Stegostoma tigrinum: one gene and its partners. The protein of the gene in region 4 binds, or shares a complex with, the protein of the main gene of each other region. Links are inferred from orthologs where the notes say so. Each region holds a gene or a part of one and is shown on either strand. Other genes may lie near its edges. The genes, in order: nod2, dual specificity mitogen-activated protein kinase kinase 6-like, mitogen-activated protein kinase kinase kinase 20-like and A-kinase anchor protein 13-like.

Region 1 (7,575 bases), on a different chromosome or scaffold from region 4:
TTGATATATGGTGAAGATAGAGTCAGGCCAGGAGACCCGGTAAGAGCTGAAGAACTTGCCCAGTTCTTGAGATAGGCCAATAAATGAGGCCATTTAGGGGAGGCGATGGCCGAAGTGGTATTATTACTGGACTGTTAATTCAAAGACCCAGATAATGTTCTGGGGACCTGGGTTTGAATCCTACCACAGCAGATAGTGGAATTTGAATTCAATAAGTATCTGGAATTAAGAATCTAATGATGACTGTCGACTGTCAGGAAAAACCCATCTGGTTCACTAATGCCCTTTTGGGAAGGGAGCTGCCACCCTTGCCTGGTCTGGCCTACATGTGACTCCCGACCCACAGCAATGTGGTTGACTCTTAACAATTAGGAATGGGCATAAATGCTGCCTAGCCAGCTGCACCCTCATCCTGTGAATGAATAAAGAAAAAAAGTATCGATAGACGGAAAAAAAAACTAAAGGACCAAACACGCTGCTGGACATGCAGTATACATCCCTAATCAGGGAGAGAAAGAGGATCAAATACGCAATCAAATTTCAGAGAAGTGTATGATTAATATGGCCTTAAGAGTAGGGCATTTCAATTATCCAAATATTAACTAAGGTAATGTGCAAAGTAGAGAGGGAGAATAATTCTTAAATTGCACACAGGAGAACTTTTAAACCAGTACGTTGGAAATTCAACAAGGGAAAGGACTGTTCTGACTTGATATTTAGAAAGGAGCTTGGGCAGACAGAAGTCTTGTCAATGGGGAATATTTTGAAGAGAATGATCATAACTCAGTCAGATTTAAGATAGTTACAAAAAACAAGTTTGAGGAATCAGTTAAAGTTCTAAACCAGAAAACGGTTATTTTGCTGTACTATTTGGTAGCCAAATGCAATGGGAGCAGTTCGTTTTAGATAAAACTGTGTCAGATCGGTGGGAGGCATTCAAGGACGAATTGGTAGCAGTACAGGGCAAATACGTTCCTATAAAGATAAAGCAAAACTTTTCATAATGCCTCTCAATGTCAATCTACAGCAGGTGGACTGTTGTGGTTCAAAAAGGCGGCTCACTATCACCCTCTCAAGGGCAACTAAGGATGGACAATAAATACTGGCCAGCCAGCAACAATCCACATCTCAAAAATGAATAAAAATATTTCAGAGTCAAACATGAAATGATTGTAACATGTTTCAGCCAAATGAATCTCAAAGAATATGAATTCTCTGACTGGGGCTGTTAATCTGGTCCAACCAGGAAGCCTTGCCTGACAGGTACAAACAGAAGTGTGAGACGCTGCTTGGCCTGCTGTGTTCATCCAGCTTCACACTTTATTATCTCGGATTCTCCAGCATCTGCAGTTCCCATTATCACTGTTAGAGGTTCTGTGCACTCTGAGAGTTGACTCTGGGAAGCCAGACCAGTGTCAAGAACTATGCACATGTTAACAACGAGTAACTTGGTGATGGAATACTGGTATCCAAAGCAGCTTATTTAAAATATAAATAAATCTTGAGACTTAATTTACAGTCATTATTAACTAGTACATTCTCCATGACAACACCTCTATCAAATAGAGTCCATTTTGCCAACCAATTAGCATTCTCGTTTTGAATGATGTTTTCTATTTAATCTGGTACATTGTGCAAACTGTCTTGATGAGTGCAAAAAGAAAAGCTTCCACAAAATATGTCTTCTTTCAACAATATGTTTCAGGTAATAAACAAAGTTAAGAACAAAGAACAATACAACACAGCAATAGGCCCTTCGGCCCGCCAAACCTGCACCAACACATTTTCCCTGCCATATAAAACTGTCTTCTCTTACAGGATCCAATATCCCTTTCTCCCTTTCCTTTTCATATATTTGTCCAGGTGACTCTTGAATGCTGCTATTGTGTCTGCTTCCACCAGATCCTCTGGCAGAGCATTTCAGGCATTAATCACTCTTTTTGTGAAAAACTAGCCTTGCACATCTCCTTTAAACTCCCCTTCACCCTATGTCCCAACACTTTGAACCTGGGTCCCCTAGTAATTAACCCCTCCACCCTGGGAAACAGCATCATACCTATCCACCCTATCCATGAAGGTTGGGACCCTTCTTCAGAAAAGTGACATTTGTGTGACTTTTGAATGTTAATGGGATGCTCTCCTGCTTGCTGAACCATACTTGATAAAATAACCAGAATGAGAGGACAATGTTGATAAGGTGAGTGCCAAGCTGCCAAAAATAGTAATCTGAGAATGTTCACATTTGTATCAGTTTTGCTTTATGGTTTTATGAAAGTTTGTTCCTCATGCCAATTACTGAAGGCGTTTACTTAGGGAAATGTTTGTTACCAAGGTCATGCCCAAAGCATTCTGTGGTCACAAAGTGCTCATTGCTCAATCTTGCCTCAGCTTCTCCATATTTCCATCTATCTTCCCACTTTTAGCCGCTCCAACTTTGCTATTCAAAATCTCTTTTGTTTAGTCTGCATCCATCTTAGTCTAAGGTGGGCAGCACAGGAATTTTCTGAGGATATTCCACTGCAAAACAGATATACTGCTTTGAATGCTGTTGGGGGATTGACCTCTCAGGGTAAACCAGCAACAGCCAAATTTATTGCAGCACAGTTGTTTCTGCTGCACAGGAAAGGAGGAGAAAGTGTGGGAATGCAATAATTGTAGGGATTGAATTGTAAGAGGAATAAACATGTGTTTCTGTGGCAGAAAACGAGACTCCAGGATGGTACGTTGCTTCCCTAGTACCAAGATCAAGAATGTCTCAATACAGCTAGAGGACATTCTGGAGGGTGAGGGTAAACATCCAGTGGTCATGGTACAAATTGTGTCAGTGACATAGGTTATGAAAGGGGTGAGGTCTTAAAAGCTGAGCTGGGCCAAAAGACCGCAAAGTGGCAGATGGAGTTTAATTTACATAAATGTGAGGTGTAGCATTTTGGTAAGACTAACAAGGGCAGGACTTATAGAGTTAATGATAAGGCGCTGAGAGTATTGTCAAATAGAGAGGCCAAGGGATTCAGTTACATGGTTCCTTGAAAGTAGTGACACAGTTAGGCCGGGTGGCGAAGAGGGTGAAAGGCACACTAGCTTTCATCGTTCAGAGTAGTGAGTTGGGACATTATGGTAAGGCTGTAAGGATGTTGGTGCTCACTATTGGAGTACTGTGTACAGTTCTGGTCATCCTGCTATAGGAATGATATTATTAAATTGGAGACGGTTTAGAAAGCATTTACCAGGATGTTGCTGGGACCGGAGGCTGGGACCTGGAGATGGATAGGCTGGGACTTTTTCCCTGGACATTCAGAGGTTGAGGGGTGACCATAGAGAAGTTAATCCATTCATGAAGGGCATAGATAAGGTGAATAGCCAAGGTCTTTTTTCCTAGGGTAGGGGAGTTCAGAACCAGAGGGCATAGGTTTAAGGTGAGAGGAGAAAGATTGAAAAGGGACCTGAGGGGCAATTTTTTCACACAGAGGGTAGTCTGTGGAATGATCTGCCAGAGGAAGTGGTAGATGCAGGTACAGTTACAACATCTAAAAGACATTTAGACAGGTACATGGATAAGAAATGTTTAGAGGGATATGGGTCAAATGCAGGCAAACTAGTTTAGTTTGGGAAACCTGGTCGGCATGGATGAGTTAGACCGAAGGGTCTGTTTCCGCGCTGTGTGACTGTATAACTCGGAATCCTGTGAACTGGCCAGCTTGTCTGACCTCTGCAGCCCTCCTTGGGTTACCATACCACAATGCGTTCTGAGTAGAGCAGTTGTTTGGGAGTTTGGCATTAGGTTATGAAGGACATGGACTGTCCAGTCAAGCTGGTTTGGAATAATTAGTACCTCAATTCTGGGCCTGTTGGCTTGGGAGAGCATGCTGCTGTGGAACCACCTATGTTGCCACGGGATTTGAAAGATCCTGCAAAAGCATCTCTGGTGGTTCAATTCTGGTGCTTTGAAATGTCGGGGAGTGCCAGAATAGGAGTATTTCTCCATGCAGTAAAAGCTAAGCTACCATGTCCTATTCATTCATGCTCAGTTTTTCTTGCATGCCTACCTATTGCCAGCTTATATATTACAAAAATACTGTAAATCCTGCAGCTGGATACAAAAATCGAAACTCCTCAGAGCAAGTAATCAGTTCCAAAAATCTGCTTCCCCTGCCGGAAGTGTTGACTTGTCTTTTCTGCACAACGACAGACTGACGCCCTTCGGGTTATCTGATGTCAGCTTCCTCTTTCACAACTAATATAGGCCAGAAACTGGAGAGAGAGAGAGAAAGGGCAGTTTCTGAATTCTGACACGATGTTGACGGTCTTAGAATGATCTTAAGGAATGACTCAGCCTCCCTCTGACCTGAACGCCTTGTGAAACACCACTAGCCTTGCCTATTGAAACGTCGGGATGTTTTAGAACGGGTGGAAGTACCTCTCCGCGCCAGAAGGAAGTGGAGACGGAGATCATTATCTGATGTTGTTAATTGTGTTTCTGGGCCAGCAGCCACTGAGCATTGAGCCTCCCGCACCAGTTCGGAAAGGGTGCAGCTCTCAGACTGCCCCCGGCATCTACACCACAAGGGAAGTTCATTTGTGAGTTTACGAAGCCGCCGTGTGCAACTGGGAACAGCACAGAAAAGTAGAACCTCACATTCCACGAGCCTTGTTGTGGAATTTGAGATGTGATGAGAACATTGCTTAAGGTACCCCTAAGGTTCCACTGTACTCATTTATTACATGCCGTTATGAAAACTTCCTGCGTTGCTATTGACGGGGATGTGAAACTTTCAAAAACGTGCTAGCGATACCATACACAAAGTCAGAAGTACACCTGGAGTTATCTACCTGTAAAATCCTGTCACTGCTCAGCGCTGCTCTGCTCTTTGAAGGAAAGAGCCTTTTTGTAATGTTTTTGATGCTGGGTTCGGATTAGACGAATAAAACCGAAACTACTCTTTGCTGGGTAGCTCAGCGTGATGGCCCTCCGGAGGATTTAACATACGCAGAAAAAAATGTTTATTATGTTTATTTAGGGTTGTTTCGAAATAGCATTTTTAATATCAAAAATATACTTTATTGATTAAAAAATCTTTATATACATACATAGTGAAGCTGTTCGCTTCTGTGCAGTGGCATATCGAGAAACAAGCGGACAGTGATTTGTTTGATTCTATCCAGCAAACAAACCAAAGGCATTTCTTGCCTATACCAGATTATATTTACATACAGCAATTTCCAGCTTCATGGCAGCTCAATCTGTCTAGAACTCTGAAGATGAGGTTGTAGGTGAAAGTAAACTGAGCCTCACCCTGTTTAATTTGAGGGGTGAAAGTATGCCATCTTTAATCGAAACTAAATCGAGTTTGCATGCGTTCATTTTGTAAACTGGGGCAAAGAATCTAGCTGGTAGGGAGCGAATGACTATCTTTTTATTAAAGAAAGACATACGCGATGCATTTATGACCCACCCCTTATTGCCGTTGAGAGCAGTGTACAGGCACCTTGAACGGTTGTAGCCAGCCCGCGATGCTGTTGGAAAAGACATTCCAATGTATTGATTCAGTGACTGAAGCAGTGGTCGCTCCAAATCAAAATGTTGCGTGGCTTGGGAGCAAAATGCAATCATTGTGTATGTAGTGTAGTATGGAAACATTGGGCTTAGGAACCAAATGTTCTGCTACTGTTCCTAAGTGAGTTTTGAGAAGTTGATGATGTTACCTAGAATGGTGACGAAACGTCTGAAAACGAACGTTCCAGCTCAGCGAGCAAACTCACATCCAGAACTGTTTCTAAGTCCAATACTACACTGTATACACTATACTATACTACAGTAAAATGCTTTGGGATGTGCCGTATTTGTGAAAGGTTTGTATAAATGTGAGGTTTTTTTTGAATTGGGCATCTCATTAGTTGTTTAGGTATAATACAGCTGGAGCTGCAGGAGCACAGCAGGCCAGGCAGCATCAGAGGAATAGCAAAGCAGACATGGGACCCTTCAGAAATAGGGAGAGGTCAGGGAGCTCAGAAATAAGTAGAGGGGTGGGGCTGGGGAATGTAGGTGGCATGGTGATAGGTGAGTGCAGGTAGGCAATGGTGGGGATTGGTCAGTGAGGTAGAAGGGGTGGATAGGTGGGAGAGAAGATGGACAGGTTGTGTCAGGTCAAGGAGGTAGGGGTGAGAAGGACGGTTAGTCATGGGATGAGGAGATTTTGAAACTGGTAAAGTCCACATTGAGACCATTGGGCTGTAGGCTCCCAAGGTGGAATATGAGGTGCTGCTTTTCTAGTTTCCGCGTGGCGTCATTGTGACACGGGAGGACGCCCAGGATGGACATGACACACAGGGAATGGAAGAGGGAGTTGAAGTGGTTCGCGACTGAAAAGTGTTGTCATTTGTTGCGAACAGAGCGCTGGTGCTCTACAAAGCAGTCTCCGAGCCTCTGCTTGGTCTCACCGATGTAGAGGAGGCCACATTGGGTGCAGCAGATGCAATAGACCACATTGACAGATGTGTGTGTGAACCTCTGTCTGATGTGAAAGGTTTGTTTGATTGACCTTGATGTTGACCTGCTCCTCCCACCTCACTGACCAATCCCCACCACTCCCAACCTGCACTCACCTATCACCGTCCCACCTACCTTCCCCAGCCCCACCCCTCCTCTCTCTATTTATTTCTGAGATCCCTTTCCCATCCCCCATGTCTGAAGGAGGGCCCCAACCCAAAACATCAACTATCCTGCTCTTTGGATGCTTCCTGGCCTGCTGTGTTCCTTCAGCTCCACACTGTTATCTCTGACTCCAGTATTGGCAGTTCTTACTATCTCTGAGTTGTTTAGGTATATCTCGTTTTGGATTTTATCCGCATCCCATGAAATTAAATGCTTTCAGTTAACCTTTTTAATATATAACTGTGCTCCAATGCTTGGTCATCTCACTGATCCAATTTTGACCAGCATTAAAGAAGAAGAATAGGGAACAATAGATGAATGAAGATTGTGAAGCTCTGGTCAAGAATAAGGTATAGACCATTGGATTAAGTGAATCTCTTGAAGAGCATAAGGGATAGATTCACTGCCACCAATTGTTCTCATTTACTAATATCAATGGAGAAGGATACCCACACACAGTCTTTGACAGAAGGGAAGCAGTACCCGACCTCAGTAATGGATACTGCTGGGACTGGAGGCAGATGAATGAGGAAGACAGCCATGGACTCTGGAGTGAGGTAAATCAGTATGGGTTGGGATATTCAACAAACCAAGTGCCTACAGGCTTTCATGGACTATGAAAAACTATCTGACAGCATATACAGAGAGGTTGTTAACCCCAGGCCAGGAAATCTCAGACAGCTGTTAAGTTTCAGGCTAAGGGCGCGACCATTTAAGACTGAATGGAAAGAATTTCTTTATTGATAAGGTGGCATTTCTTTGGAATTTGCTACTAGGGATGATGTGAAGGCATCATCTTTGATTATATTTAAGACTGAGATGACGACAGTGTTTGGTTTTTCAGGGAACAGTGAGTAGAAGGGAAGTCTAATTGCAGCCCAAGACCTACTGTTGCAGAGGAGGCTTGATGGACTGTATTGCCT
Region 2 (8,106 bases), on a different chromosome or scaffold from region 4:
CCTCTCACCCTATCTTCTCCTTTATCCATCTTCTGTCCACCTCCCCCCATCTCCCTACCTATTTCAGAATCCCTTCCCCTCCCCCATTTCTGAAGAAGGGTCCTGACCTGAAACATCAAACTTTCCCACTCCTCTGATGCTGCTTGGCCTGCTGTGTTCATCCAGCTTCACACCATGTTATCTCAGATTCCAATCTGGAGAGGTGAAGCGCGAAGTTCACATTTGGCCTTCAACTGAACTTTGGCACAGTAGCATAACTATTGACACAAGGAAGTTGATATTGCTATCTCGCAATCTTTTCAAAAGTAGGCAATTCAATCAAACTGACACCAACAGCCACAATGAGATTCAAAATAAAAAAGCACTGAATCTGGCAGAAATCTGTAGCACAGCAGGTGATATTTAGTCTATCAAGCCTGTGCTGATGGTTGGGAAAATATCAATGATTTGCATATTTAACCACTTAATACTCTTCCCTCAACCAGCATCAGTAAAAAAAAATCTGGTCAAGCATTCATTACTACATACAGCAGCTACATTTGTCTCTGCATGCAACGGGCAGTGAATTTCAAAACGACTGTAAATGCTTCCAAGAGATGCAAAAAACAGATATTGTTAAATGCAAGTTTGCTTCTTTTCCAGAATGCCTGCTCTTAATGAAGATTTTAACTATGACTATGAGATGATCCTCTATCTTCACTGTGGTAAATAGAGAGTGTAAGATAACCTGATCATGTGTCTAGTTTGGCAAATTTATGATGTGAGTGGACAAGCATATGCATCAAATACAGCATTTAAGAAATGAGATTTAAATTTAAATTATACATTTAAAGTCTAAAAACCTCAAACCAAAAATACAATTTTAAAAAACTCCCTCAAGCTCATCAGACAAAGACACCATCTGCTGCAGTACTGGACCATACTGAACAGCTTTCATGGCCATACTAAACAGAATTCATGTCAAATTAGCTTACCACACCCACAGCAGTCTCTGAAAAGGTACAATTAACCATCCACCTTAGACTAGAAAGTTGCAGATAGGTTTCTGCTCATCACAGGTGCATATGGGCATGAGGTGAAACAGGACAAAACTCAAAAAATACATCTTTTCCACAGTTCAAGTCCAACATAACTCTACATTGGAAGAAGTGCAGCCACAACAGCAGATAGACAGTGACCAGCATTTTGAGAACTATACTCTAGACTGAGTCACCACTTCTAGCTGTGTTGCAAAGAACATCTTTTTTTAAAATCTCTTGAAAAGTCAGATATATCTATCTGAAATTTGGACCGAGTGGATTAAACATGGGTATTATAGATCATCCAGTCTTCATTGTGCCACTGAAATCAAAAGCTGTGTTACAACAAAGGACAAAAATTCAATGAGACAATATTTTTTGCATCACTAATTGTTATTATAAAATTAATTATTCAATAATATTAAGTATTAAGCAATCAGGTCAACTAGAGGTCATCTCTCAAAAGTACAAAACCCAAAGTCAACAAGAAACTCCATAGATTCCAATTCTTGGAATAACTGATAATTGTGAAGAAGTTTCTCAACATTCCACTTATATTCATGTGTTTTAAAGTTTCAGGAAAATTGTGCAAAATTTTCATTTTAAGAACAGGCTAATATGATAGACACTATTTGTAAAATGGGACGTCTAAAAATTGGCCAAGTGTGATAAGTGGTGACCCCTCCATTTCGTTATTCCAACAGGTCTACACTACATCAAGGTCATTGGCATCTTCACTTTTTTTTCTTATCTTGGGAGGGCCCTCTTCCAGTGAGCTCTCACAAGAGAAGACAGAACCCTGATTATAAATGTGGGGAAGGGCACCCTTCTGTGGCCTCTACTGGATGCCAATCCAGTACAGTGGTCACAGCCGTCACTGCAGTCTCCGCTCACCGGGACTGCCTATAGTGAGCACAAACCCAAACCGCTGACTCAAGCGGCAAGAATGGTACCACTAAGCCAATGGTTTAAGCCTGATTATGCATGTTTATTTCGAAATACTTTTGTTCCACTTAGTTTGCAACGTCTATAGCGTCTGTAAATTTCGAACAAATTAACGAGAATAAATCTTTCCTCTACATTTAACAACGCTGTAACTGATCTGAAAGTGTTTGATGCAAATAGCGAGTGCCAAGTAGGAAGTGTTCCATTCCCAGAAATAACATCAATCATATCATTGAGCACAAAACCCACACTAGAAAAAATTTCATAAAACAAGTTATTGAATTCAGCTTTAATGATAAGAAAACATACGCATATTCAAAAATCAAAAGTATTTCAAAAACAGTAAAAGTGGAGCTATTATGCAACATAAAAAAAAATTTCCTATCACCGCATATGGCTTCCAAGAACAATGCAGCATTGCAAATATAGAAAATCAATGCAAAACACACCAACAGGGAAAGTCTCAAAGTAAACTTCTCCACCTAAATCTTTCTACTAAAGCAATGTACAACGACCAGGCTGAACTGGTAACCGAGCCAATGTGTCCCTTTAAGATGAACACTCCCAGTCTCAGGGTATCCATTAACTGCTGCAGAAATTGTACTGAAATAGTGAAATCCGTGCACTGTGTATTTCTATAAAGATCACCATGCTGGGTCAACTTAAAGGATAAAACCGCATGGAAGAACGCTGAGCTAGCAACCTTCAGCTACCAGAAGCTGGCTCCATTTGCTGTTTGGCACTGCAACTTACGGTAACTCCCTGCTTTAGGTCTTTGCTGCAAACAAGCTACTGTAAAGGAAGGCTGATTGTGCAACGAATGGAAGTAAACAAGCTAGCTCCAAAATGCTTGCTACGCTGAACCAGCTATGCAAAACGCAGCTTCTAACGCACACAAAAAATAAAAACCTCACAATAAATTAGATGGAGAGCTTGTCAATAAAATTGCAAAACTTACCTTGTCTCTTGTCCATGAGTTCCCAGAAGTGCAGCTGAGGCGTGACGAACCTTTAGGGGAAGTCTCATTAACAAACTCAGAGAACTTGCTGCACGCTTTGGGCCCCACTATGCAGACTTGCATGCACGCTGTTCTGACAAAATAATTTGATGTTGCTTTGCTTCTCCAGTATTTCACCTTTTTCCTTCTGTCTACTACCTAACGGCAATTTGTTTCCTTACGTTAAAAATATACCCCCGTCTCCAATTGCACCGGCATTAATCTTCCTTCCAACTCAGCTGCCACAAACTCAGTATAGAAGCTGCAGTAATAAACCAATCTCAACCATGACATCACACAGGAAGTTGGAAGATTGCCAGACAAGGACGCTACAGAGGTAAGTTTTCGTTTCAAAAAACACCCAAATGTCTACAAGTGGCAATCATATTAGGTGGATTTTTGAGTATTTCTCTGTTGCTTATTGATTTTAAAAAACACACGCCCATGGGCAGCTGTGTTCTGAAAGGAAATGCTTCATTAAACAAACTATCTCTGCACAAGTGTGTGGCTGTTCTTTCCCCTAACCAAACCTCAGGGCTATCTCAAATGGCATATTGTTAATCATAGAACATTATAACACAGAATAAGGATACTTATCCTAAAATGTCCAAGCAGGATCTTTGAAAATTACTCTTACTCCCCTGTTTTTTCCATAGTTCTGCAAATTTTATCCATTCAAGTGTTTATAAAATGCAGTTTTGAATATTACAGAAAATCTATTTCTGGTTCCTTTTCCAGTAATGCATTACAGATCATAATTATGTATTGAATAAAAGAAATCCCATCTCAAGTGTCTCTTCTTTAGAAGAAGCAGTTTTGATGCCTTGACTAATTTCAGAGATCTGACTCTTTTTAAAGAGTCTTCAATTACTATCAAAAGCAGTGCACAAAGTGTGTCTCCAATTAATTAACCCCAACAGCTTGCTAATGACCAATAACTCACTACATAACAAAAATACAAAAGTGTGACTTATACTTTGAATATCAATTTGAACAGTCTTCTTTCAGTGCTTTGCCATCAACCTAGTAACACATTAATTGCAACAACAGTATGCAGAAAATAGGACAGAGAAATAGACAGGAATCCATAGGCACTCCTGGTCCTGAAGTGGTCTGGAAAGACATGATTAGTATAATGATGAACAAATACTCATTTCACAAGCAGATATGAGCAGAATTTGCACTGCTTTAGTCTTCCCCTTGGGCTTATTCCATTGGTGCTCAGGAATCCCTTTCAGGAGGATTGAGCTGAATCTCGTACCTTCTCTTTCACTGTTTTTGAGGAAAGTGGCCTGATGCATTTACCGGCAGTCCTGCTCAGATCAGCAATTTGCTGCAGGTCACAGTCCACATCTTGCCCTCATGTACTTTAGTCACTTTCTTCTTGGATACACAGGCTGAGTTTAGATGTTTCCCTAGAAAGAGAATGCCAATCATTTGAGTTTTCATCTTTACTAACAGCTGAATGTGGTGGGTTCCCCTGAAAATATCCCAATAGTTTCAGCTTAAAAAATGTAGGGACAAAATATGAAAGTTTATTTTTTAATATGCACATTTAATTATTCTTGGAGTTAAAGGTACACAAGTTATTTCCTGAGTAGAATTTTACTGAACTTTATATTAATTTGATCAAGATAATCCTACAGAGGTCATTCTAATTAAAGTTTAGAAATCTACTTCTTGTTATAAGCAAAAAGCAAGTCAATTGGAAGAATTATGCAAATGGCTACAACAGCAAGATGGCACAAGTACTTGACGATGGAACATACTTTGAGACCTTATAATTTAAATAAGCAATAGCCTGAGTGGCAAGCAATGTTTTCCAACCATAAGTTATCAAAAGCTTTTCAAGAAATTGCAATAAACATGGGTCATAATTCAACCATCTAATTTCAGGCAACAGGTTTATAAATGGAGAATTAGCTACCTGACTTCACATTCACAATGTAGTACAATGTGGAAAGGCAAGAACATTCTTTGGAAACATTTTGCACAACAAATCGTTGTGGAGGGCATCAGCAATCTTCCCACAAAATTCACTTGGGTAATGCCTACACATTTGGCACTTTTTGTCCTGCCTGTGATCAACACCATGTTGTCATTGACATGGCCACTGTAAGTGTGCAACCAAAGAACAGACCATGATGTTAATTAACTCTGGTGGTGCTATACTCAAACTCATGCTCCAACTGACACCCTTTCAACTACTGTGCAATAAAACATATGTTCAACAGTGTGCCCAATCTACCACTAGTGTTATTGCAAGCTGGCTTTTCCAACACACGGTCCAGGGGCCTGAATCAAGCCCACTAGGTGTCTCGATGTGGATCATGGAAACAGTACTCAAAATGCAGCTGAATAAAAACAATATCTTCAAGGAGTTGCTCCTCTAGTCATAGGCTGTTTATCTGCCATACTCAGGTGATAGTGCTGAGCCTATCATTATCAAAAACAGGAGAGAATCATTCTGAGTGGAGGAGAAGCGAACAGTGCAAAGGTAAGTGGCTTCATTCAGTCTTCAGGCCTGGATGCAAGAGCTTCAACAGTGAATTTTCAAGGCTGGGCGAGAGTCTGCTTATCAAAGGATCTGTGTTCCAGGGCTGCTGCGAGGGAAGAGAAGGCTCCTTCTTCCCCCACTCTGTGCAGTTACCTGAGATCAAGTCTCCATATTCCCAGGAGAGAGGAGTCTACAAAAGATTGACAGAGAGACAGCACCTGTGAGTGAATATGTATGTGTGTGTCTATGAGCGAGTGCATGAGAGTAAATCAGCACATCTGAAAGAGACAGCCCATTTGAAGAAATGTAATTGTGCCTTTAGAGTAGAGGACTGACTTGCTAGCTGTAGCCATGTGACTTCTACTTCTGCTGCAAGTGCCTGATTTGAGTAGAGTCTGGGCACCCATTAAACAGATAATGTTGTCAAAGTGATGCAAACGAAAATATGTTAATGTTCAAAGCTTTAAAAAGAGTCAGCTGATGAACGTAATAGCAAGGAAGAAGTAAGATAAAACATCACAACTTTGAACTAATGGGTGAGTCAAATAGCTGTGTGTTTTACACTAGGTACTATTGTGGAAATGAAGATGTGAGACAGAATTGTTTTTTTTTCCCCACTCACAGTGACCAAACTGTGACATAGAAACAGAATTATATTTTAAACTTGAGCATCTAAGAGTTGCAACCCTGCTGTTAGGAAATTATAAGCTGTATAATATCCTAATTCTTACTGCGGGACAGAGAAGACAGGAGAGATTTTTCAGGCTTTGAAGATACACTTTGAACCCCATATTAACATTATTTATGAACAGTATTTGTTCAGCATCAGAACTCAACGTGAGGGAACTATTGATCAATATGATTGCATTGATATATCTAGCTTAAGCCTGAGAGTTAGCACAACTAAAAGATGATATAATCAGAGATAAAACTGTCTTCAGCATAAGGCCTCGCAGGCACACTTGTTATGTAGAGAAATTTACCCTCAAGAAAGCTATTGATACATATAGAAGTTCTGAAGCTGTCAATCAGCTGGAGTGTCAATGGGCGAAAAAGGAAGAAATATTTGCAGAAAAGATAATAATATGATCATAGCCAGAGAACAAGATGTAAATTTTATGGGGCACATCGCACAAAAGAATGGAAAGCATACCCTGCATATGGAAAACAGTACTCAAACCATAAAAACCCGAATCACTCTGCGCACACGTGTATAGTTAGAGAGATGGTGTCTGGACAGGTATCAGCAAACTAATCTGCTGAATCGCTTTATAACATAAACAGGTTGAAGTTGTCAAGTCTAAAAGTAATGAATGGTTTGGAACTGTTAGAAAGATGGCTGCAGAATGTGAGCATCAAGGGAATATGAAGCGTCAAATTGTCATCAGTGCTTCATTCAGTTTCACAGACCTGTGCGATGTGGTAACCCAAAACTGAATCCATCGAAAGTAAAGCTGAAGCTATATAATGGAATCATACTCATGCCAGAGAATAAATGGAGTTCAGAGCCAAATGCAACGGAACGAAATGAATATCTTGAGCTCCAGAAAGTAGATATTTAGCAAAATCCATTCGTCTCAGCTGAAGCAAGTCTAAAGCTTGGACTAGTAACTCTAAATATGCCAAAGGAGATTTGCAATTTGACAGGCCATGAAGCCATTGATTGCTGAACAGATCCTAAAAGATTACAAAGATACATTTACAGGTCTTGGATGTGCTCCTGGAATATGATCATGAAGTAGATAAAAGAATAAGGCTAACTCAGCTAAGGAATATTCCAACTGCCCTCAAGTCTGGCTTGAAAGACAAGATAAAACAGCTGGATAAGAAGGGAGTAGTCAAGGAAGTGGCACCTCCTGTAGACTGAATGAGCAACACTGAATAAACCTGCAAAACTGAAAATATGTATGAATCCAAAAGATCTCAATAAAACTTTGAAGAAATCTCACTGCCTGTGCCCACCATTAAAGATGCTTTGCCACAACTTGTAGAAGTAAAGACGTTTACTGCCTGAAATGCAAAGGATGGTTACTGGCAAGTTAAGTTGGATGACAGCAGCAGTTTTCGAACACATTCTGGATAGCATTCAAGTGACCCAGAAGGTTATACATGCCATTTAGTATTTCTACTGCTCTTGAATAATATTTTGGAAATTATTGTGCATTATCTGCTAGTCCATGGCTGTGGAAACATGTGGATGAAGCAACTGCATACCACAAAAATAATATAGATTTGTGATTTACATAGCAAAGTTCTTCAGTAACCTTTCATTAGAGTGTGAACCTCTCACAAGCCAAGGACATAAAGTAGTGCTGGAGCACTGAAGAAAAAGCAGCTTTCACTGATACCAGAGATAATGGGAACTGCAGATGCTGAAGAATCCAAGATAACAAAGTGTGAAGCTGGATGAACACAGCAGGCCAAGCAGCATCTCAGGAGCACAAAAGCTGACGTTTCGGGCCTAGACCCGCCTTGCACTGATGCTGTTGTTTTAATGATGAAGTCACCTTGCAGTCTGATGCCAGTGACAGGACACAGCCACACTTAAGCAGCAAGGACATACAAGTTGCATTTCCATTTATTGCGTTAGCACAAAATGAACACCACGACTCAGTTTAAAAATGAAGGCCTAGCTATTGTTTTTACCT
Region 3 (7,945 bases), on a different chromosome or scaffold from region 4:
TGTGGCTCACCAGCAGGAGGTGCTGGTTCTCTCTGATAGGGCAGCCCACCAGCAGGAGGTGCTGGTTCTCTCTGATAGGGCAGCTCACCAGCAGGAGGTGATGGTTCTCTCTGCTAGGGCAGCTAACCAGCAGGAGGTGCTGGTTCTCTCTGACAGTGCATTTCACCAGCAGGAGGTGCTGCCTCTCTCTGACAGTGCGGCTCGCCAGCAGGAGGTGCTGGTTCTCTCTGACAGTGCAGCTCACCAGCAGGAGGTGCTGGTTCTCACTGACAGTGCGGCTCACCAGCAGGAGATGCTGGTTCTCTCTGACAGTGCGGCTCACCAGCAGGAGGTGCTGGTTCTCTGACAGTGCAGCTCACCAGCAGGGGGTGCTTGTTCTCTCTGACAGTGCGGCTCGCCAGCAGGAGGTGGTGGTTCTCTCTGAGAGTGCAGCTCACCAGCAGGAGGTGCTGCCTCTCTCTGACAGTGCGGCTCACCAGCAGGAGGTGCTGGTTCTCTCTGACAGTGCGGCTCACCAGCAGGAGGTGCTTGTTCTCACTGACAGTGCGGCTCACCAGCAGGAGGTGCTTGTTCTCACTGGCAGTGTGGCTCACCAGCAGGAGGTGCTGGTTCTCTCTGAGAGTGCAGCTCACCAGCAGGAGGTGCTGGTTCTCTCTGAGAGTGCGGCTCACCAGCAGGTGCTGGTTCTGTCTGAGAGTGCGGCTCACCAGCAGGAGGTGCTGGTTCTCTCTGAGAGTGCGGCTCACCAGCAGGTGCTGGTTCTGTCTGAGAGTGCGGCTCACTTGCAGGAGGTGCTGGTTCTCTCTGACAGTGCGGCTCACCAGCAGGAGGTGCTGGTTCTCTCTGACAGTGCGGCTCACCAGCAGGAGGTGCTGGTCCTCTCTGACAGTGCGGCTCACCAGCAGGAGGTGCTGGTTCTCTGACAGTGCGGCTCGCCAGCAGGAGGTGCTGGTTCTCTCTGAGAGTGCAGCTCACCAGCAGGAGGTGCTGGTTCTCTCTGAGAGTGCGGCTCACCAGCAGGAGGTGCTGGTTCTCACTGACAGTGCGGCTCACCAGCAGGAGATGCTGGTTCTCTCTGACAGTGCGGCTCACCAGCAGGAGGTGCTGGTTCTCTGATAGTGCAGCTCACCAGCAGGGGGTGCTTGTTCTCTCTGACAGTGCGGCTCGCCAGCAGGAGGTGGTGGTTCTCTCTGAGAGTGCAGCTCACCAGCAGGAGGTGCTGCCTCTCTCTGACAGTGCGGCTCACCAGCAGGAGGTGCTGGTTCTCTCTGACAGTGCGGCTCACCAGCAGGAGGTGCTTGTTCTCACTGACAGTGCGGCTCACCAGCAGGAGGTGCTTGTTCTCACTGGCAGTGTGGCTCACCAGCAGGAGGTGCTGGTTCTCTCTGAGAGTGCAGCTCACCAGCAGGAGGTGCTGGTTCTCTCTGAGAGTGCGGCTCACCAGCAGGTGCTGGTTCTGTCTGAGAGTGCGGCTCACCAGCAGGAGGTGCTGGTTCTCTCTGAGAGTGCGGCTCACCAGCAGGTGCTGGTTCTGTCTGAGAGTGCGGCTCACTTGCAGGAGGTGCTGGTTCTCTCTGACAGTGCGGCTCACCAGCAGGAGGTGCTGGTTCTCTCTGACAGTGCGGCTCACCAGCAGGAGGTGCTGGTCCTCTCTGACAGTGCGGCTCACCAGCAGGAGGTGCTGGTTCTCTGACAGTGCGGCTCGCCAGCAGGAGGTGCTGGTTCTCTCTGAGAGTGCAGCTCACCAGCAGGAGGTGCTGGTTCTCTCTGAGAGTGCGGCTCACCAGCAGGAGGTGCTGGTTCTCACCGACAGTGCGGCTCACCAGCAGGAGGTGCTTGTTCTCTCTGGCAGTGTGGCTCACCAACAGGAGGTGCTGGTTCTCTCTGAGAGTGCAGCTCACCAGCAGGAGGTGCTGGTTCTCTCTGACAGTGCGGCTCACCAGCAGGAGGTGCTGCCTCTCTCTGACAGTGTGGCTCACCAGCAGGAGGTGCTGGTTCTCACTGACAGTGCGGCTCACCAGCAGGAGGTGCTGGTTTTCTCTGACAGTGCGGCTCACCAGCAGGAGGTGCTGGATCTCGCTTATAGTGCGGCTCACCAGCAGGAGGTTCTGGTTCTCTCTGACAGTGCGGCTCACCTGCAGGAGGTGCTGGTTTTCTATGACATTGTGGCTCACCAGCAGGAGGTGCTGGTTCTGTCTGACAGTGCAGCTCACCAACAGGAGGTGCTGCCTCTCTCTGACAGTGCGGCTCACCAGCAGGAGGTGCTGGTTCTCTCTGACATTGTGGCTCACCAGCAGGAGGTGCTGGTTCTCTCTGACAGTGCGGCTCACCAGCAGGAGGTGCTGGTTCTCTGACAGTGCGGCTCGCCAGCAGGTGCTGGTTCTGTCTGAGAGTGCTGCTCACCAGCAGGAGGTGCTGGTTCTCTCTGAGAGTGCTGCTCACTTGCAGGAGGTGCTGGTTCTCTCTGACAGTGCGGCTCACCAGCAGGAGGTGCTGGTTCTCTCTGAGAGTGCAGCTCACCAGCAGGAGTTGCTGCCTCTCTCTGACAGTGCGGCTCACCAGCAGGAGGTGCTGGTTCTCACTGACAGTGCGGCTCACCAGCAGGAGGTGCTGGTTCTCCCTGACAGTGCGGCTCACCAGCAGGAGGTGCTGGTTCTCTCTGGCAGTGTGGCTCACCAGCAGGAGGTGCTGGTTCTCTCTGAGAGTGCAGTTCACCAGCAGGAGGTGCTGGTTCTCTCTGAGAGTGCAGCTCACCAGCAGGAGGTGCTGCCTCTCTCTGACAGTGCGGCTCACCAGCGGGAGGTGCTGGTTCTCTCTGAGAGTGCGGCTCACCAGCAGGAGGTGCTGGTTCTCACTGACAGTGCGGCTCACCAGCAGGAGGTGCTGGTTCTCTCTGGCAGTGTGGCTCACCAGCAGGAGGTGCTGGTTCTCTCTGAGAGTGCAGCTCACCAGCAGGAGGTGCTGGTTCTCTCTGACAGTGCGGCTCACCAGCAGGAGGTGCTGGTTCTCGCTTATAGTGCGGCTCACCAGCAGGAGGTGCTGGTTCTCTCTGACAGTGCGGCTCACCAGCAGGAGGTGCTGGTTCTCTCTGACATTGTGGCTCACCAGCAGGAGGTGCTGGTTCTCTCTGATAGGGCAGCTCACCAGCAGGAGGTGCTGCCTCTCTCTGACAGTGCGGCTCGCCAGCAGGAGGTGCTGGTTCTGTCTGAAAGTGCGGCTCACCAGCAGGAGGGGCTACTTCTCTGGCAGTGCGGCTCACCAGCAGGAGGTGCTGGTTCTCTGAGAGTGCAGCTCACCAGCAGGAGGTGCTGGTTCTCTCTGACAGTGCAGCTCACCAGCAGGAGGTGCTGGTTCTCTCTGAGAGTGCGGCTCACCAGCAGGAGGTGCTGGTTCTCTCTGACAGTGTGGCTCACCAGCAGGAAGTGCTGGTTCTCTCTGATAGGGCAGCTCACCAGCAGGAGGTGCTGGTTCTCTCTGACAGTGTAGCTCACCAGCAGGAGACGCTGGTTCTCTCTGATAGGGCAGCTCACCTGCAGGAGGTGCTACTTCTCTGGCAGTGCGGCTCACCAGCAGGAGGTGCTGGTTCTCTGACAGTGCAGCTCGCCAGCAGGAGGTGCTGGTTCTCTCTGAGAGTGCGGCTCACCAGCAGGAGGTGCTGGTTCTCTCTGAGAGTGCCGCTCACCTGCAGGAGGTGCTGGTTCTCTCTGACAGTGCGGCTCACCAGCAGGAGGTGCTGGTTCTCACTGACAGTGTGGCTCACCAGCAGGAAGTGCTGGTTCTCTCTGATAGGGCAGCTCACCAGCAGGAGGTGCTGGTTCTCTCTGAAAGTGCAGCTCACCAGCAGGAGGTGCTGGTTCTCTGACAGTGCAGCTCGCCAGCAGGAGGTGCTGGTTCTCTCTGAAAGTGCGGCTCACCAGCAGGAGGTGCTGGTTCTCTTTGAGAGTGCGGCTCATCAGCAGGAGGTGCTGGTTCTCTCTGAGAGTGTGGCTCACCTGCAGGAGGTGCTGGTTCTCTCTGACAGTGCGGCTCACCAGCAGGAGGTGCTGGTTCTCACTGACAGTGTGGCTCACTAGCAGGAAGTGCTGGTTCTCTCTGATAGGGCAGCTCACCAGCAGGAGGTGCTGGTTCTCTCTGAGAGTGCGGCTCACCAGCAGGAGGTGCTGGTTCTCTCTGAGAGTGCGGCTCACCAGCAGGAGGTGCTGGTTCTCTCTGAGAGTACGGCTCACCAGCATGAGGTGCTGGTTCTCTCTGACATTGAGGCTCACCAGAAGGTGCTGGTTCTCTCTGAGAGTGCGGCTCACCAGCAGGAGGTGCTGGTTCTCTCTGACAGTGCAGCTCACCAGCAGGAGGTGCTGGTCCTCTCTGACAGTGCAGCTCACCAGCAGGAGGTGCTGGTTCTCTCTGCGAGTGCGGTTCACCAGCAGGATGTGCTACTTCTCTGGCAGTGCGGCTCACCAGCAGGAGGTGCTACTTCTCTGGCAGTGCGGCTCACCAGCAGGAGGTGCTGGTTCTCTCTGATAGTGAGGCTCACCAGAAAGTGCTGGTTCTCTCTGATAGTGAGGCTCACCAGCAGGAGGTGCTGGTTTTCTCTGATCGGGCAGCTCACCAGCAGGAGGCGCTGGTTCTCTCTGACAGTTTAGCTCACCAGCAGGGGACGCTTGTTCTCTCTGAGTGTGGCTCACCTGCAGGAGGTTCTGGTTCTCTCTGATGGTGCGGGTTGGAGTGGGAGGAGGAAGGGGCGGGCTCTTGGTGTCGGGAGGGTTTTGGTCATTTTATTTGCAGTGATTCTCGTCTGTGCTGAGTTCTTGTCTCATTTCCAGTTGGAAGCTGGGCTAAGTGTAGTAAGAGGTAAGAAATGATACCGAATTGAATGTCGTTGCTTTATTTGCAATCTTCAAGGCGGAGTTTTATTTATTAAAACTGCAGACAGAAGTAAAGAAGGCTGTTTCCTGCGAATGTGTCTGGAGTAACTGCCGGTTGTACTTTTCACGGCCTTTTGTAATCGTGTGGTTTGTGTCATTGGCAAGTCTCGGAGTCCAGTGAACTTTGCTGGTTGGAGGCTTTTTTTAAACATTTACATTCGCTCTGGGATCTCAAGCATTGCACAGAACTCTCACGTGATAGGTTTCAGCAAAACCGCCTCCCACTTCCCAGAAGTGTGTTTACTTCAGGGAATAGCCATTGAGTTTTGCGAAAGTTGCTCCTTTTTAGGAAGTTATTGCTGGCATTTTAGAAAAAAAAGTCTCTAATTTGTACGTAAGAGCGTTGTAGCGGGTCTCTGCCCAATCTGTGTTACTAGCTGCTATTCTCTGCGAAGCGGACAGTTTGCGTGTGTCACATTCCAGAGCCATGACCCAGTTTCCAAGTTGACAGCGCTTCCGCGTCGGGATAGAGTGTCCCTGGAAACTCAACAGGCGCACGGGCTCTAAGCCACAAACTTGTCTTGACATAGCGCCTTCCGTGGGCTCGGGACGCCCCAAAGTTTTTTGCACACCAGTGGATTATTTTTGGACCCGTCAACGTAGTAAACCTGCAAAGTTAAAATGGAAAATATAACACGGTGAAAGCCATCTGTAGCCGTTATTCTGATAGTTTAAACTCTTAAAAAAATCTGTTTTACACAACAGATGCAGAAGTTCTGTTTTTTTTGAGACCGATGTTTTTGTTTGCATTTTAAAATCATTTGTCTGGTGTGTTGAAACTGATCATTTAGTTTGAAATAGTTATAGCATGCTGATTTTGATGACTTTTTATTTAACTATTTGTTTCTATGTTTTTCAGATTCTGAAATTGTCAGTATGCAATGTTGTCCTTCAGTCCATCGTTTTTGCAAATCAAGTTTGATGATTTGCAGTTTCATGAAAACTGTGGCGGAGGAAGTTTTGGTAGTGTCTATAGAGCAACATGGTTATCTCGGGACAAAGAGGTGGCAGTAAAAAAGTTGTTAAAAATAGAAAAAGAGGTGAAGTTTTGCTGTGCTATGTATTTTGTGGATCTCCTTTCTGCTAACTTTTATTTTCAGAGCCCATGGTGTTAAGAGCAAGGTACTGATGTGGATAGACAATTGGCAAAAGGCAGGGAGTAGTGATAAAAGGGTTTTTTTTCCAGAGTAACAGCCAGTGATTAGTGGAGTTCTGCAGGGGTCAGCAAAATTATAGAATCCCTACAGTGTTGAAGCAGCCCATTTGGTACATCAAGGCTACACTTACCTCTGAAGAGCTGAAATTCAGGGTTCTCTTCATGTCCAGGTTCATTTGGCAGTTAGGAAAACAAAAGCACTTAATATTCATTTCAAGAGAGCTAGAACGCAAAAGCAGAGATGCACTGCTGGTGCTTTATAAGGCATTGGTCCAGTTTGAACTCGAACAGTTGTAGATCCTGGATCTAAGGAAGGATTTGCTGGCATTGGAGGTGGGTCCAGAGAAGGTTTTCCAGAATGATCTAGAAAACCTTCTCATATATGGAGTGGTTAAAGACTCTGGGCCTGTACCTGGTAGAGTTTAGAAGGATGAGGCGGGGTGGGGGGGGGATCTGATTGAAACTTGCGGAATACTGAGAGACCTGGATAAAATATGCATGGAGAAGATGTTCCCTGTAGTAGGAGAGACAAGGATCCGGATCCACAGCCACAGTGTGAATGGACAACCCTTTAGAGGTGAAGTAAGGAATTTTGTCAGCCAGAGCGTGGTTAACCTGTGGAACTCGCTGCCACGGAGGGCTGTGGAGGCCAAGTCATTGAGTGTATTTAAGACAGAGATAGGTTCTTGCTTGGTAAGGAGATCAAGGGTTATGGGGTGAAGGCAAGAGAATAAGGTTGAGAAACATATTAGCCGTGATCAAATGGTGGAGCAGACTCGAGGCCTAGGCCTATTTCTGCTCCTATAACCTTGTGGTCTAATTTCTTGAATACTTTAACCCTTTTATAGCAATAAATCTGCTGCCCTTTGTGGCTGTTCCAATTCCCAAACTCTCTTCAGCGTGCAAAATGGATCAATTTACCATGTGATTGATATTACTTTTTATTCTAGTAATTCATCTGCACTGTTGAATTTCCCCAAATGTACAAATTCACACTTATGTAAACTGTCGAACGAACCCCTGATTAATTGCAAAGATGTAACCATGTCTGATGATGTACCTTCAGTGCTTCTGTAGATTAATTAAAATCAGAAAGTTAACTCAGTATCATATATTGCAATAACTAAAACACATTGTAATTACTACAGTTGATTGTGTTTATTTGTCATGTTTAACCTGGCTACTTTTTCTATTTTATGAAAGCATCATATTTCTGTGTTATTCGTGTCTGATCTTTATTGGTCTGCTTTTGAGCTTTGTTGTGTTTGACGTAATTTGCGACAATTCCTGCAGGAGTAAGGGAAGTGAGAGACTGTTCTTCAGGCTGACTCAATAAGGTTGGCTTGGCACATGTGACCAATTGAGTTTCTCCCCAGTGAGTTTTCACAAGAAGTTTTGTGCAGGAAGATATGGTGAGCACCAGACTGAAACTTCTTAGGCCAAAATGTAAGCAGCTATCTTTCTATATTGATAAACACATGACCATTTTCTGATAGGACATGTAAGTAGTTGGACCACGCAGAGAATCAATTATGAAAGAATGCATTTATCAGTTCTTGTAGTCTCTCAGGATTCTTAAATGTGTATTTAGTGTTTCCATTGAAATCAGTAAATGGTTTTGATGGAGCTATTTTAATCGTCTGGATGTAGAGCCCTACTCGAATTTCACTATTATAAAATTCTATATATAGTTCTTCTAGTCTGCAGAGATTTAAATTATTTATTTCTGCTTTGCTTCAAGGTGGTGAATTACAAAGAATGATTTGAGTAAGACGGACAGAGGATGTGAATACTTTAAGCATGCTTGAACAACATGCCAAAAGGCTCCAGGCTCAGTGTTATCAAAGCTTAAGTGCAGAACACGTAT
Region 4 (8,334 bases):
AATGAATTCCACAAGCCCACCGCTCTCTGGCTGAAGGAATGTCGTCTCATTTCAGTTTTAAATTTATCCCCTCTAATTTTAAGACTGTGCCCACGGGTCCTAGTCTCCCTGCTTAACGGAAACAACTTCCTAGCGTCCACCCCTTCTAAACCATACATTATCTTGTAAACCCTGAACTTCTGACCCTTCCATGACAAGTAGTTCTAAACTAAAGTTTGCATCCCTTCCCCTACCCTACCTACCCAAAGGTAGCTTCTTTATAGACTTCTACTTACTGACTATAGATCTGCCTTCAGCACAATAATTCCAAACAAACTCCTCTCTAAAGTATGTGACCTAGATCTTTGTCTTCCTGACCCATAGACCACAATCGGTAAGAATAGGCAACATCACCTTGTCCACCATAGCCCTCAACCCCGCAAGGCTGTGAAATCAGTTCCCAAATATACTCCATGTGCATTCATGACTGTGTGGCCAAATTCTGCCCCAACTCCTTTTACAATGTTGCTGATGACACCAACATTGTAGGTTGGAGACGGAATACAGGAAAGAGATTGAGCGCTCAGCATCGTGGTGTAAAGCCAATGATCTCTCCATCAACGTCAGCAAAACAAAGCAGCTGGTTGTTAACTTCAGGAAGCAGAGTAGAGGGCATGCCCCTGTCTGCATCAATGATCCTGAGGTGGAGGTGGTCAAGAGCTTCACAGTCCTACAAGTGATGATCACCAACAATCTGTCCTGGTCCAGCCACGTTGATGTACAAGCAGATTCGAGAACAGCTTCTACTCTGCTGTTTTTAAACATCCGAATGTTAATTCGGACCTCTCTCGCCGCACCTTCACTGTGCTGTAACATTGCATTCTGCATTTTTTCTGAGTAAGGGTCACTGGATCCAAAACATTAACCTGATTTCTCTCCACGGATGCTGCCAATCCTGCTGAGCCTTTCCAGCAATTTCTGTTTTTTGTTCCCGAAGGGGTATGCATGAGCCTTGGAATGTTTTGATGTATACAAAGCATTATATAAGTTTCGGGATAAGATCTAAAATAGGCTGTTGCAACTAATCCAAAAGGTGACGTTTCTGCAATTAAGCTATTTAAAGATGCTGAATTGCCCCCACTGAATACCGTTCATCTCTCCCCTCCCCCCAAACCATTTCCCAACTTCAGGCAAAGGACCAGATTTCAATGAAAGTGTGCTATCTTGTGCCCCAAGCTAGTCCGTGAATTTGCGATTTCGAGTTTGTGGTTTGTTGACCTTGTACTTTAGATAATGTTAGCTAAACATGTCCCATGTGAAATTTCTTACTTGGCTGATATAATTAAGGCGTTCACTCACTTATTCGTATTTCTGAGTTGTTCTGAAGTTGGATGTGGAAGCCAACTTTAAGAAATTTGACACAAAATTAAACTCCTGTTTTACTTTGTAAATTGATATTTGTAAAGGAATGTTTATGAAAGTACTTTTAAAATTGTTTAAAAATGCATTTAAAAAATGCCCAGGCTCAAGCCTCAATTTTTAAACAAGTTTTTTTTTTGGAAATAGATGATTGTGGCTCGAGGTTCATTCTCATGTTGGGAAAGCAGAACAAAAGTCCTGAATATAGCAGGAAAGACGGTGGTAATGTCACAGAACGGGTAATTCAGAGGCCCAGGAAAATACTCTGGGAACATGGGTTTGAATCCCACTATGGCTGTTAATGGAAATTTTAAAAATCATTGTTAGTCTTGGTGATGGTGACCATAAAGCTATTATAGATTGTCATTATAGAGTCATTGAGATGTACGCCATAGACACCCTTCAGTCCAACTCGTCCATGCCAACCAGATATCCTAAATTAATCTTGTCCCATCTGCTGGAATGTGGCCAATATCCCTCTTAATCCCTTTGTGTTCATATACTCTCACTCATCTAGATGCCCCTTAGAAGTTGTAAGTATACCAGCCTCCACAAATTCATCTGGCAGCTCATTCCATTCATACACCACCCTCTGCGTGAAAAAGTTGCCCCTTAGATCCCTTTTAAAATCTTTCCCCTCCTCAATTTAAACCTATACCCTCTGGTTTTGGACTCCACTACCCCAGGTCAAAGACCTTGGCTATTCATGACTCATGATTTTATAAACTTTCATAAGATCACTCCTCAGCTTTCAACACTGCATTGAACCTGCTGAGTTTTAATGTATATTTTAGGGAAAAATCTTTGCTATCCTTACCCAATCTAAATAGAGGAAATTAAATGCTGTCTGAAGAGATCTAGTGAGCTGCTCAGTTCAAGAACAATTAGGATGGCAAAACACACCATGAAAGGAAAATTGAGGGGCTACTGTGGCACAGAGATAAGTGTCCTTACATCGATGCCAGGAAGTCTCCAGATTCATGTCATACCTATTCTGATGCTGAGTCATAATATTCCTGAGCAGGTTGATTTTTTTTTAAAACAAAACCTAAACATCAGCATATAGAAAATCATATTGTAGAGTTTTTTAAATGTTGCCCCTGATGGCATGGTGGCTCAGTGGTTAGCACTGCTGCTTCACAGCATCATGGACCTGGGATCGATTCCAGCCTCAGGTGACTGTCTGTGTTGAGTTTGGAAATTAATGGAATAGTTCTTTCCAGTCACAAGCACTGACCTCCAGATAATAATTACAGCACCTGTTCACTCCCATTAGTGAAAATGACATCACTTTTTTTTTTGTTTTTCTTTGCCCTCTGCACTATCCCTTGTGTGATGCTGCTAATGTCCAACAGCAAGCCCAGATGATGTTTGGCCAAATGTTCATGATTGAACCTCAAGTCAAATCAAGACCATTTTGAGTGGTGAGCGAATTGATGTAAAGCTTTGGTCAGCGTTGTTCTTTCACTGCTTAATTATCTGAGGATGTGATCCAACTGAGTAAATCTGTCCAAATGGCTCCAGAAGAGTTCGCTGCTCTGCAATGTGTCTCTGGTATGAGGCAGGAATTCATTAGATGAACCAGTTATAATCCTAGGCCACCTATGTTTATAAAAGTCATTCAGATCATGTACTGGGGGAAGATATTCTCCAAACATCCTTCATGAAATTCAAGGGAATCTGTGATCTTCTGAGGGAACCCTTTCATAATTTGTTGTGAGTTATCTTGTCTGGGTTTCCAAATGGTATTCTCAAATTGCAGAATCTATTCCATGCTTGGCAGAATGATGAGGCTGTACATTACAGAAATGAATCTTGACTCAACTAATGGCTTTTGAAAACAGGATGAGATCAGTTGGAATAATCAGAACCAGCTGATCATCGTCTTGGCTCGTACAATCTTTCTTAGTCGAATTGTGTTGTTTCCATAGTAAGTTAGGAGATTTGGGCTTTTCGTCATTTTTCCTTTGTTTTGCCCTGTAAGGAGGCACGGGGTGGGGGTTGGTTCTATGTCCTCTGAGCCTTTGTATGTGCTTGTCCTTTTTAGTATATTACAGTTTTAAACAAGGCAACAAAGAACTCAGTCCAAGTGTGGGTGCCACGTGTGGGTTAGCAGCTAGCATTGTTCCCAGCCGTTATGATAATACATTAATCCACCGTCTCACTGCAGCACGCAGTAAGAATGTGATTCTTTTGTACATCTGACCCTGAGGGAGGTACGAATGTCAGCTGATTTACCAACATAATTCAGTTGCTGTCTTCCTAAAGATTTTATTTCATTTGAAGCTAATTAATTTAATCTACCAGTGAAGCTGAATGTCATTTATGCCAAGATGCTAAATATGCTGATGCTAGCATTGTGCTTCGATAAACCTGCTTGATGTGAAATGGTTTCAAATATAATGTTTAGAGAATTGTTTCAAAGTGTGTTTAATTATTTATGCACTCCAGTAACCAAGGTAAGTTTTAGTTGAAACAATCTGCTTTCAACCCTGTCCAGTTTATTTTAGCACCAGTAGAATTTGTGCAATTTAAGGTATGATGTTACTGATTACTGTTTGATTATCCAGGGAATTTTTGTGCTGTGCTCTGTGAATTGTTCCTGAGTGACAGAAGGCAAGTCTAACCCAGAAACATTCTGGATCCAGTAACTGTGATCTGATTTCTCTTAAATTGGACTGGAGTCACATTTTGCTGGTCAGCGCTTGTATTGGACAAGAAGGTGTTTACTAAGGAGCAAACATTTTCTTCCTGTGGCCATGCTGCTTGCTGGTTTCTGTAAAATCTGGATTGTGGCGTTCTCTTTGTGTTTCTCCACTGTTATCATCTTTCTTTTGTAGCAAGCGTCACCATTTTACTGGAGTGTTGTTGCACTTGTGTCTGATGCACTCTGGTGCCCCTTACAGTTAGATATTAATGAAGAAATCCATGGGTTTAATGCTGTATGTTCTCTTAATTCAGTAGTCTTGGTGCTGTGTATTCTCTGAATTTGAAATTGTTGGGGCCGTATAATGTTGAATCCCTTTTTTATTGTGTCGATTCTGTTGCCTGCTTGACCACAATTTGAATCAGCTTGTGTACTGAACCTAGTTATTTAGCATCTACAGCTTGAAAGGATTTAATTACATATTCCAGCCAAAGCATTGGATGAGAGATAACAAAGTTTAGAGCTGGATGAACACAGCTGGCCAAGCAGCATCTTAGGAGCACTAAAGCTGACGGCTTGGGCCTAGACCCTTCATCCCTTGTCCTCCCTCTTCACATTAGTGAGAATACGCTTGCATTTTCATTGGATGGGTGATGTCGACAAACTATTCCACAGCTTCAGCCACAGCTCTGGCATGTAGCACAAAGCTTCGCACAGATCAGCGGTCTGACCTGTAGATGGAGTTTACCCAGAAAGGTTGGGGTGTTGTCACACTACACGCACGACATGACTGAGACCGAGCCCAAATGCTTTTATAAGGATACAAACTCACCACCATAACCAAGGGACGATGCAGATCGAGCCTTACTTTCTCTGAGCAATGTGCATGTTGTCTGGACAGAAATGGACTGTTTCTCCTTCAGGTGTTGTAATTGTCATGTTGCATTTAGTACAGCACACAGAAGCAATTTATTTTGTCCCTACTACTCTGCACCAGCATTTATACTCCCCAAGAACGTCTTACCATCGCATTCTCTAACACTATCCTTTTTCTCTTTCAAGTGCTTATCGAACTTCCTCTTAAATGCAGCTATGTGACTTATCTCACTACGCCTTGTGGTAGTGTGTTCCACATTTGTACACTCTCTCAGAGAAGGATGTTTGTCCTAAATTGCGTATTGGGTCCATTAGTGAATGTCTTCTATTTTTAAACTCCAGTTTTGGACTCCCACATGTCTGCTGTGTGCTGTAAGTTTGTGCCGTTTATTTTGAGAATTTATTCAGATGTTTCTTTGATTTTGGCTTTTGTGTTTAGGTTGAGTCTGCAGTATGTGTTTCGTGCTGTGTGAGAACTGCAAACCACAGGCATGTGTGCAGCTGCATTCTTCAACTGTTCCCCTATAAACTATGTGGTCAGGCTTTCACCCTTGCTAAGGTTTAAGCCGTGCTAAAGACAATTTGGTATTAATCATCTTCAGGCTTATCCATAAGCAGAAGCCAATATTGCTGCTACAGGCATCAGTTAGAATTAGTAGGAGCTGAGTCGTCCTGTCAGCTGTGCACTGTCTTCAGCAAAGGAAAGCAAGCACTGCTGATTGAAGTTTAAATGTGGGCGAAGTTTAATTTTAGTGATGCATCCATAAGATGATACATCGGAGCAACTACTAAACTTGCAGCTGTCTCGCAAGTAGAATGAAGCTTGGGGCGCAGCATTTGTTCAACTATGAAATATCTGTTTGATGGCTTTGCACTGAGTTATATACTTTTGTTTTGGTTAGTGTGGGGCTGAAATCTGTTTGCATTGATAGCAAATGTGCCTGTAACATTTGCATTTGTATGTGCCTGTGCAGTGTTGCCCCTCTCTGTGTGTTCTTCTTCTGTTCTTAAAGCAGTGATAAGGTCTTTATTTGCGTAAAAGGCATGTCATAGAATCCCTACAGTGTAGAAAGAGGCCATTCAGCCCATCAAGTCCACACTGATCCTCTGAGCATCCCACCCCATGTCTGAGACTTCACATTTCCCACACATAACCCCTGGACACTGTGGGAAATTTAGCATGGCCAGGCAACCTAAGCTGCACATTTGTGGACTGTGGGAGGAAACTGGAGGACCCCGAGGAAACCCACACAGACATGGGGAGAATGTGTAGAGTTTACACAAATCAGTTTCCCAAGGCTGGAATCTAATAGATTCAAATTGCAATCTCCACTTGGATCCCCACCCTTTCCTCAGTTTTTTTTTTCCCTGTTCTCCAACCAGAGCACATATGTTCCTTTCTACTGGGTTAACAACAAGTCAGGGGAAACTGAGCTCAATCTAAAATGTTCAAAAAGTCTCTAGAAGCATGTCCGCACTTGGTGATTTCAAAGGATCCCCGTTATGGGCTCAGATATATCTTGCATTGAATTGTCATCTTTGCATCTTGGCCTGCTGCAGTTTCTTTGATTTCAAACTGCTCCACGATCCCATAGCACCTTTTTGGTGATCTTCTTTCGTTTCACCTTGGCTCGCAATCTCAGCCACTTCACTGCCTCTTCTGTCACTGGGACTATTGTGCTCTAATGCTCTGGAATTCATCAGTGAACCCAAATGTAAACTCATCCTCTCAACTGTCAATTTTTAAAAATTCACTTTGGGATGTGGCTGTTGCTGGCAGGGCTACCATTTATCACTCCTCCCTAGTTTCCCTTGAGAAGGTAGTGGTGAGCTGCGGCACGTTTGGTATAGATAGATCTACAGTGCTGTTAGGGTGGGAATTCCAGGAGTCTGATCCAGTGACACTGATGCAACAGTGATAAATTTCCAAGTCAGAATGGTGAGTTGTTTGGAGGGGAACTTGCAGATGGTGTATTCTGATGCATTTACCACTATAGTCATCTTCCTGGATGGTGCTCATAGGTTTGGGATGTGCTATCGAAGAAGTTTTAGTGAATTTCTGCATTTTGTTTATAGTATGCACTATTGCTACTGTGCATTGGCGGAAGAGTGGATGTGATACCAGTTAAGCCAACTGCTTTATCCTGGATGGCATTAAGCTTCTTGAATGTTGCTGGAACTGTACACATCCAAGCAAGTGAGGATGTTCCATTGCACTCTTGACTTGTACTTTGTTAATGGTGGATTCAGGAGGTGAGTTACTTGCTGCAGTGTTCCTAACCTCTGTCCTGCTCTTGTGCCCACAGTTTGTATTGCTGGTTCAGTTTCTAGCCAGTGGTAATCCACAGGATGTTCGAGTCACACAGCATGGAAACAGACCCTTCATTTCAACTCATCCATGCTGACCATGTTCCCAAACTAAACTGGTCCCACCTGCCTGCACTAGGCGCATATCTCTTGCAACCTTTCCTATTCATGAACTTATCCAAATGTCTTTTAAGCATCGTAACAGTATCTGCATCCGCCGCTTCCTCAGGATGTTCATCCCAAACATGAACCACTCTGTTTTTTAAAAATTGCCGCTCATGCCCTTTTTAAATCATTCTTCTCATACCTTAAAAGTATGTTGTCTAGATTTGAACTCCTCCAGCCGATGCAAAAGATCCTTGTCATTCACTCTTTCTATGCCCCTCATAATTTTATAAACCACAATAAAGTCATCCCTGAACCTTCTACACTCCAGTACAAAAGACTCACAGCCTTTCCTGTCTATTTTTTATATTTTTGCTGCTTTAAGTTTTTAATATTTAAACTAGAAGTGCAACATCATTGTGTGGCTGTATCTTGAAAGGGATTCATCATGACTGCCCAATGGTATCAGTGTGGACTTCACACGCTTCATAATCTCCCCTCCCCCTACCGCATTCCAAAACTAGCTCAGCTTGCCCCCGCCTCCCTAACCTGTCCTTCCTCCCACCTCAAGCCCTCCCCCTATCTCCTACCTACTAACCTCATTCCGCCCCCTTGACCTGTCCGTCCTCCCTAACTCCCCACCTACACTCACCTTTACTGGCCCTCTTTCACCAGTCTGTTTCCTTTCCACTTATCATCTCCTCTGTTGATCTTCTATCTGGCTCCCGCTCTCTCCCTGTTTATTTCAGAACCACCTTCCCCTCCCTCATTTCTGATGAAGGGTCTAGGCCCGAAACGTCAGCCTTCTTGGTCTGCTGTGTTCATCCAGCTCTGCACCTTGTTATTGTGACCGCTCGTGGCTTTCAAATTTGATCTATACAGCATACTGCAGCAAGTTTTGAGAATGCCTTTGCTCTTTGACCCTTTAGTGTGATCTGCAGTTGGATTATCAAGCTGAATCACGCATTACAGCTCACTAATGCACGCTTGTAAATTGGCAA

The links.
Region 1: A-kinase anchor protein 13-like (region 4) and nod2 share a complex: the UniProt entries of both Homo sapiens proteins name them as parts of the signaling complex. The link is inferred for Stegostoma tigrinum from reciprocal best matches to the Homo sapiens genes AKAP13 and NOD2.
Region 2: A-kinase anchor protein 13-like (region 4) and dual specificity mitogen-activated protein kinase kinase 6-like share a complex: the UniProt entries of both Homo sapiens proteins name them as parts of the signaling complex. The link is inferred for Stegostoma tigrinum from reciprocal best matches to the Homo sapiens genes AKAP13 and MAP2K3.
Region 3: A-kinase anchor protein 13-like (region 4) and mitogen-activated protein kinase kinase kinase 20-like share a complex: the UniProt entries of both Homo sapiens proteins name them as parts of the signaling complex. The link is inferred for Stegostoma tigrinum from reciprocal best matches to the Homo sapiens genes AKAP13 and MAP3K20.

Annotation. Positions count from the first base shown.
Region 1 is NC_081369.1:27,097,499-27,105,073, reverse strand, and holds the start of nod2 (nucleotide-binding oligomerization domain-containing protein 2), read left to right. Parts: upstream 1-4,196; 5' UTR 4,197-4,688; intron 4,689-7,575. UniProt on the Homo sapiens protein: Pattern recognition receptor (PRR) that detects bacterial peptidoglycan fragments and other danger signals and plays an important role in gastrointestinal immunity.
Region 2 is NC_081376.1:17,311,813-17,319,918, forward strand, and holds the start of dual specificity mitogen-activated protein kinase kinase 6-like, read right to left. Parts: upstream 3,236-8,106; 5' UTR 2,939-3,235; coding exon of another isoform or gene 2,923-2,938; intron 1-2,922. UniProt on the Homo sapiens protein: Dual specificity kinase. Is activated by cytokines and environmental stress in vivo. Catalyzes the concomitant phosphorylation of a threonine and a tyrosine residue in the MAP kinase p38.
Region 3 is NC_081360.1:48,612,369-48,620,313, reverse strand, and holds the start of mitogen-activated protein kinase kinase kinase 20-like, read left to right. Parts: upstream 1-4,741; 5' UTR 4,742-4,848; intron 4,849-4,854; exon of another isoform or gene 4,855-5,252; intron 5,253-5,283; exon of another isoform or gene 5,284-5,560; intron 5,561-5,568; exon of another isoform or gene 5,569-5,690; intron 5,691-5,781; 5' UTR 5,782-5,803; coding exon 5,804-5,962; intron 5,963-5,968; exon of another isoform or gene 5,969-6,637; coding exon of another isoform or gene 6,638-6,655; intron 6,656-7,945. UniProt on the Homo sapiens protein: Stress-activated component of a protein kinase signal transduction cascade that promotes programmed cell death in response to various stress, such as ribosomal stress, osmotic shock and ionizing radiation.
Region 4 is NC_081386.1:28,170,748-28,179,081, forward strand, and holds the start of A-kinase anchor protein 13-like, read left to right. Parts: upstream 1-5,186; 5' UTR 5,187-5,277; coding exon 5,278-5,293; intron 5,294-8,334. UniProt on the Homo sapiens protein: Scaffold protein that plays an important role in assembling signaling complexes downstream of several types of G protein-coupled receptors.